2 linked regions of the Cricetulus griseus genome follow. The protein of the gene in region 2 purifies or fractionates together with the protein of the main gene of each other region. This does not show direct contact. Links are inferred from orthologs where the notes say so. Each region holds a gene or a part of one and is shown on either strand. Other genes may lie near its edges. The genes, in order: Ireb2 and Ciao2a.

Region 1 (4,071 bases), about 11 Mb from region 2:
TATATCCTGCAAACTCAGCACCCCAGAGGCAGAATTGTCATGAGTTTGAATCCAATTTAGGCTACAAACCAAGATCTTCTCTAAACTAATGGTGGTGGTGGTGGTGGTGGTGGTGGTGGTGGTGGTGGTGGTGGTGGTGGTGGTGGTGGTGGTGGTGGTGATAAAAATAAAAGTGATGAAACGCATGTCCGTTACAGGGTGTAAAGGCTGTTTTGGCTGAAAGTTATGAAAAAATCCACAAAGATCATTTGATTGGAATTGGCATAGCTCCACTTGAGTTTCTCCCAGGAGAAAATGCAGACTCCTTGGGACTCTCTGGTAGAGAAGTATTTTCTTTATCATTTCCTGAAGAACTCTCTCCTGGAATTACATTAAATATGAAGGTATCTGAAAATTTCCAAATACATAATTGTGTACTCTGTACTCAGATAGGTGTAAGTTGAGTAAGAATTGTTTCTAATTGCATGCTAATGTCAGTGCATGTAAGCTGTAGCTTTTTGCTGTTAATCTCTGTTATTAATAGAGCTCATGTTGTCTGAGGAAAAGTAGAAGGAACTGGTTGCTTAGCCTAGAAAAAGATGCCTGGTAGAGGATTGAGGTTCAGTTGCTTCTGCCAGGTTTTCAGCTCTTTCTCTTTTGATCTAACTTTGACCCAGGCAATAATCCATTCCAGAGAGAAGCTAAAGTTCGGCATTCAGGGTTAGACTAAGCCTTTATAACTAAGGAAAGAAAGAAAAGGACAGAGACATTATATGTAATGGACACTTACTGTATAGTAAGAGTAAATAGTGAGTGATAACTTTCATAAAGGAAGCAAAACTAAGTCATGCTATAGAATTGCAAAGTCTGATACTTGTCCTTTAGAATTAGAGATCAAAATACCTGTTTTTCTATTTAGCTAATTGTTTTTAAATAATGGAAGGGTTTTGGGCAATCAAAATGTAGGAATTTAGACCAGGAAAATGAGGCAACAAATCGGGGAGTTAGTGGATGTGAATACAAATGATCTTATTCGAAGCTCTGACACTCACATATCTTTTTGTTTGTTTAAAAGACAAGTACTGGAAAAGAATTCAGCGTGATTGCATCATTTGAGAATGATGTGGAGATAACTTTGTACAAACATGGAGGCTTATTAAACTTTGTGGCTCGAAAATTCTCATAGTATCTACTTGCCATGGTATCTTTTGTGACTGGTAACTGCAAAGCCTTTTGTGCTGGATCCAGGAACCTTTGCCATGGAGCTGCAGATAATTCCAGTACACTTGTTTATGTCATCCATGGATGTAAATGATTATGAATCAATGTAGTGACTGAAATGAAATCTTGATTTTAAATAATATACGAATGGTGCTATTAACATTGCTAAAAATCAACGTGTGAAGTGTGTCGTGGAAGAGGCCTGTAAGTATGGGGGTTATATTTTATCAGAACATTTTGTAAATAAAGACAGAATTTGAACTTGTGTTGAAGATTCATATGAGTAGCCTTTCTGAAGCAGTTTGTTTTGTTTTGCCCTATAAAATTGGACTACTGTTTGTTGGTTTAAGAATAGCAAGTTGAAATACAAGAATCCAGATTAGTCCCTAAAATATTGGGAATGGCTACCTAATTTATAAAGAAATTTTTAAGTGTATTCTTTCCAGGATTGATTGGGACACAGTTAGCATTCCCAATTTGTAATGTAAGTCAAATTTACCCTTAGTCTCAGTATATCTTGAGTAATAGAACCTGCCCCAGATCACAGTCCCTCTGACCAATCCAGCCAAAGTTTACACCATGTCTGAGGATAAATAACTGCAAAATATAGATGATTGTATGGTATCATGTATTAGTAAAAAAATATCTCCTATGGTACAGCCCTGTAATTTTTCAGTAATTTGCCACTGTGACTCTCTGACAAGCCTTGAATACTGGTATATTAATTTAGACTAGATTTTGCTTATTTTACATGATACTATAACTTCTGTAACCTCAATTAGGTATTATCAACTGACATTCCACACTCCTTTTCTAAATGCTGAAAACAACTTCAATCAACTCTAGATTTCCCCTAGACTAATAAATAAATTATCTACCCAAAATTATATGGATATGCACCCCTAAGTATTTTTTAATGCTATTTTTTACAGTCCTTTAAGTTGACTTACTGCTATTTGAGTCTTTATTTGGGATACATCAGTCTTTATTTGGGATCTGTTCATTTCATTATAACTTGTTAATTTTTAATCAAAACTGACCATAAGGATAAGACTCTTGGTGATCATTGCTGTCTGCATGTCATGTGTTCCCAGTTGCATTTATATCTGTTATACCATATGCTTTGTGTTTTAAAACATTTTTTTAAAGGGTTGGAAATTTGTTTTAGAAGTCCCTATAACATTTTAATGAAGAAATTAAACTTGGCAGCAAGATGTTAAATGTAATGATTTTTAAAAATGTTTTCTTCATCTGATCTGTTTTTGTGCATAGCACAAAACAAAAGTACTTGTTTTATGCTAAAATTCAGCAACTACCAAACCAGTGGGTGAAGAGCACTGAGAACTTTGCACATAATCAGTCATACAGTCTGTTGAGAATATTTTTCAAATATGTACTTAGTTGAACTAGAGTTTGACAAAACAAAGTCTCTGTACTAAGTGGTTTTTTTTTTTTTTTTTCCTACTTTGAAATCATATTGTGTTCTGGTAGAAGCCATGTGTCTGTCTATGCATATGTATTAATCTGCATGGAAACCTGAGTTGGGAATGGAGAAGTTACAAATTGAGTATTAAAATACTGGTACATGCTTTGAAAAAATGGTAATTCAGGATGTATTTGTGGGGGAAATGACTTATTTTGAAAGCATACTCTGTCGATAGTCTGAGCTAAAGATGTGGACATAAACATATGAGAGATGATAAACCCAGCTATGAATCAAACACTTACATTTCTAGTCCACCTAGTCCAGTCATGGTATAAAAATTGTATTTCGGGAACAAAATCTTAATCTTATTCTCTTGCTTAGAAACAGTGAACTAAAATCTCAATAAGCACGATTTTAAATGAGGGAGGAAAATTAAACGCATGTCTCAATGCGTATGTATATTTTGTAATTCTGCCTCCAGCCAAATGTTACAAAAATATGCCTGTTTTCAATGTGTTATTTCCTTCATTGACTATTTTTAGTACTTTTGTGTTATTTTCTAAACATTACCAATATTTGGGAAAGGAAGTGAACACAAAAAAGCAAATCAGTATTGTGAATGTAGCGCAGTTACCAACAGCAGCATTTTAGTCTCAAGCATTGTGTTCCATGCTGTTGTGTGCCTTAGTTGTGTTGCTCATACAAATGAGCAACGGGTATCTCTTTCTCTGTGTTAGCACTTGGATGAGAGGCATCTCTTCACCTGACTGTTTGGATTTTCACTGGTATTAAACTAAAAGCTGTAAAGTGAAGAGCTCAGGCAGAGTCAAGTTATTTGCATATGTGATAACAATATAATGTGCATTCCTCTTCTCAGTGGTGACAGGATGAGAAAATTTGACAGTTTTCAGGGGTTGAAAAACCACCTTCCTTTTTGCCTTTGAGTCTAGGGAGAAGATACTAAGATACTGGATAATGATACTATAATTGATTTGAGGGGAAAAACAGGGAAAGGAAGTAGACTTTGACTGTTTCAATGGAATTTTTTCCCCTTCAAGGGGGACTGTGACTGTGCTGATGTGGTCTTTTTGTTTTGTTTATCAATTTTATGCATAATATGTGGCTATAAAACCATATATATCTCTTAAGTAACTACAAATCATTGTTATTTAAAGCCAACAAAATAGCATAAGTTTTAAGTTCAATAATGTTAAGTATTGTATAGAAATATATTGAAGGTAAAGTTCAGTTAATGAAATTGTGTATATGTTATTGATGCTGTAAATTATTTTTAATAAAGAAAATTGTATTATCACACTTGACTCATGTTGTAGTAACTTAGAGTAAAACATCATGACTTTGGAAATGAAAAGCTATCCAGAAATTAGAACATGCTTAATAAGAATATAATGTTCAGACTTTGTTCATTCCCAACATAACATCCA
Region 2 (3,822 bases):
TCTTGAGGAATCCCTGTTCACTGTGGCTGGCTGTGAAAGATCCTGCTGGTTGGGCTCCACCCTTCTGTTCCACTCTTTCCTTACGCTGGGTTCCAAGCTGAGGAATGCCTGGTGGTTCTGTCCTCCAATTTAAATGTCAACCACCTAAAGGCTTAATCCCACCTTCTCTTCAGCCAGAATCCCCCTGGCGGGCCCTTGACATTTTCCCATTCATAGTCCCTTATGGTTTTGAATTAAGAAACTGGATATGGGCTAATAATAATCCAAGAAAATAGTTTTTTCAAAAGTAGGGGACATGTCTGTTGGGAAATTGGGAGTTGCTGAAATGTTTGTTTAAAAGAGAGTTAGGGTGGGGTGGTAGGGGCTGGAGAGATGGCCCAGTGGTTAGAGCACTCTGTTCTCGAAGAGGACCTGGGTGCACTTTCCAGCACCCACATTACAGCTCACCATTGTCCATGGATCTGAGGCCCTTTCTGGCTTCTGTGGGCACTGTGTGCACATAATGTACATACATATATAGAGGCAAAACATAACATAAAATCAGAGTAAATCTTGAAAAAGTAGTCAGTGCTTCGGTTGAGATGAGAAGACTAGCTCTCACTTAGGATACTCTAATTTAATACCTCGTCTCTGATGCCTTTAGATTTGATCCGAACTATCCGGGACCCAGAAAAGCCTAATACTTTAGAAGAACTGGAAGTGGTAACGGAGAGTTGTGTGGAGGTTCAGGAAATAAATGAAGAAGACTATTTGGTTATTATCAAGTTCACACCAACAGTACCTCATTGCTCTTTGGCAACTCTTATTGGTAAGGGTTTGTGTGTGTGTGTGTGTGTGTGTGTGTGTGTGTGTGTGTGTGTGTGTGTGTTTGTGTCAGGGTCTCACTGAAGCCTTGGCTGTCTTGGAACTTGATTTGTATTTATAGACCAGGCTGGCCTCAAACTCAGGGATCTGCCTGTTTCTGCTTTCCAAGAGCTGGGATTAAAGGTGTGTATCAACTATGCCCACCATGTATGAATTCTTTTTTTAAATTTAATATATATATTAAATATGTACTGTGGGTTTTGTTTGTTTGTTTGTTTGTTTGTTTGTTTGTTTTTTGGGACAGGGTTTCTCAGGCTGGCCTTGAACTCAGATTCACCTGCTTTTGCTGGGATTAAAGGTATGCACCACTACCTCCCAGCCAACTAATTATTGTATTTTTAAGAAACGTTTTATTTTTGATTTTCTTTTTTTTTGGGGGGGGGGGTTCGAGACAGGGTTTTTCTCTGTGTAGCTTTGGAGGCTGTCCTGGAACTAGCTCTTGTAGACCAGGCTGGTCTTGAACTCACAGAGATCCTCCTGCCTCTGCCTCCCGAGTGCTGGGATTAAAGGCGTGCGCCACCAACGCCCGGCACTTTGTGCTTTTTCTAGACCAGCAGGAAGAGTTAAAGAGGCCTGGTGGTGGTGGCACACACCATTAATCCCAGCACTCTGGAGGCAGAGGTGGATCTCTGAGTTTGAGGCCAGCCTGGTCCACAGAGCAAGTTCCAGGACAGCCAGGGCTGTTACACAGAGAAATCCTGTCTCAAACAAACAAAAACAAAATCAACAACAACAGAAAAAAAAAAAAGAGAGCAAGATAAAGAGATAATGGAAGTTTTTTCCCCCCGTCACAGGATTGTGCTTAAGAGTAAAACTTCAGCGGTGTCTGCCGTTTAAACACAAGGTAAGAAAGCTTGTTATTATCTTAAACCCAGAGCCTCACATGATCTAGGCCAGTGTCCTGCTGCTGAACCATGACCCTACTTCAGATTGTCTTTTATGACACTTGTTAATATATAATCCACACATCATGGAAGCCACATGAAGTGGACAGTTTAGTGGTTTCTGGTAACTCCTACAGAGCTCTGCAACTGTGTCGGTCAGAGTCACTTTTAGAACATTTGCATCGCCTGTAAAAGAAATCCTGTACCCAGGCAAGTGCGGTTATAGATAAGTGTAATGCCACCACTTGGGAGGTTGAGATGGGAGCTAGCCTATATCAAAAATGGAAATGAAGGAAGGAAGCAAGCAAGGAAGCTGGTCAGTCAGCCTAGAGTTACTAGCAGTAACTACTACTCTTATGCCATCCCCTCCTCTGTACTGGAACAACCATTTCCTGTCTCCATGATTTGCCTTGGGGCATTTCATTTTAATGAAGTTTAATGACGTGGATTTTTTGACTTAGTATGTTTTTGGTGTTTATGTTTTAACTTGTATAGGTGTTTCATTCTTCTGTACTATATAATATTCCACTGTAGAGAGACACCTTGTTTTATTTTACTTATCAGTTGTAAGACATTTGAATTGTTCCCTCTTGTTAAGTTAAAAATATTGTTTTGGGGCACTGGAGAGATGGTTCAGTGGTTAAGAGTACTGATTCCTTTTCTAGATCACCTAGGTTCAATGCCCAGCACCTACATGGTGGCTCACAGCCATGTGTAACTCTGGTGGTTCTTCTGACTCCAATGGCCATGCTGAACACACACACACATGTAGGTAAAACAGTCATACACATGAAATAAAATAAATAAATCTTTAAAAAAAGTATAATTGGCCGGGCAGTGGTGGCACACGTCTTTAATCCCAGCACTTGGGAAGCAGAGGCAGGCAGATCTCTGTGAATTCAAGGCCAACCTGGTCTACAGAGTGCCAGGACAGTCTCCAAAGATACAGAGAAACCCTGTCTCAAAAACAAAACAAAACAAAACTCTCTCTCTCTCTCTCTCAATATATATATATATATATATATATATATAGTTTCCCCAGTTGTCCACTAATATGATTTATGGCAGTATACCCTTCCATTACTACCCCTCCCCTCCCATCACACATTCTTGTTAGCTAGAGTCCATTTTGGCAGCTTCCCAAGTGCTAGATGCTAAGCACCATCAGCACACTCGGTGATCTTGACACAGAGTACAGAGCAGACATTTCATAGATTGTCTCTCACATTGAGTTTTCAGATGTTTCATGATTAGATTGCTATTTATTTTTGGCAAGAAAACAGAATAAACATGCTGCTATTACCTGACATCAAGAAGTGATAGTTTTAGTATTATTGATGCCAATTGCCTCCGGAATAAGGAGGTATTGCTTGACTCTTCATCTCTGTTTGTCACTATGTATCTCTAGCTGTCCTGGAACTCACTATGCAGACCAGGCTGGCTTCAAACTCACAGAGATCCACCTGCTGCTGTCTCTCAAGTGCCGGGATTAAAGGCATCTGCCACTACATCCAGGCTATGGCTATTTCAGAATAATGAGTCATGTGTAATTTTTAACCAAAGTGAAGGAATGGAGAGTGATACTCATGGGTTCAGTAAGTGTTCTGTGCCACTGGGGGAATCTGGACGGTGGTCTTTCTACTTGTGTGTTTGTGTGAGTGAGGATACATGTGTTCCATGGCACATGTGTGGAGGTCAGAGGATAACTTTCAGGGAGTTTCTTTCCCTCCATGTGGCTCCCAGGTATTGAATTCAGGTCATCGGGCATGCATGGCAAGCACTTCTACATACTGAGCCGTTTTGCCAGCCCATGTTTTGTGTTTTTAAAAGAGACTGAATGAGATGGTCTCTAACTCATGAGAAGGTCCCTGTTAACTGTAATAGTTCTGAGTGTTTTCCACTCAAAAAGCGTTGGTCTCTCTGGTGATTCTGTGCATCTGGGCACTCTGCACAGGCTTGCCTCAGCCACAGGATTTGCAGCAGTTTTGTGGTTGTATCAAAAGCTCTTGTGCTTAGGAGTCACTAATTTGTGGGGCCAGCAAGTCAAGATGAGATGGCTTTACTGGTATTACAG

What was found.
Region 1: the proteins of Ciao2a (region 2) and Ireb2 purify together in Homo sapiens (affinity purification with mass spectrometry; 3 studies listed by BioGRID and IntAct, with this or other methods). This does not show direct contact. The link is inferred for Cricetulus griseus from reciprocal best matches to the Homo sapiens genes CIAO2A and IREB2.

Annotation. Positions count from the first base shown.
Region 1 is NC_048597.1:166,526,406-166,530,476, forward strand, and holds the end of Ireb2 (iron-responsive element-binding protein 2), read left to right. Parts: intron 1-197; coding exon 198-383; intron 384-1,054; coding exon 1,055-1,165; 3' UTR 1,166-3,332; downstream 3,333-4,071. UniProt on the Homo sapiens protein: RNA-binding protein that binds to iron-responsive elements (IRES), which are stem-loop structures found in the 5'-UTR of ferritin, and delta aminolevulinic acid synthase mRNAs, and in the 3'-UTR of transferrin receptor mRNA.
Region 2 is NC_048597.1:177,745,442-177,749,263, forward strand, and holds part of Ciao2a (cytosolic iron-sulfur assembly component 2A), read left to right. Parts: intron 1-643; coding exon 644-808; intron 809-1,658; coding exon 1,659-1,708; intron 1,709-3,822. UniProt on the Homo sapiens protein: Component of the cytosolic iron-sulfur protein assembly (CIA) complex, a multiprotein complex that mediates the incorporation of iron-sulfur cluster into extramitochondrial Fe/S proteins.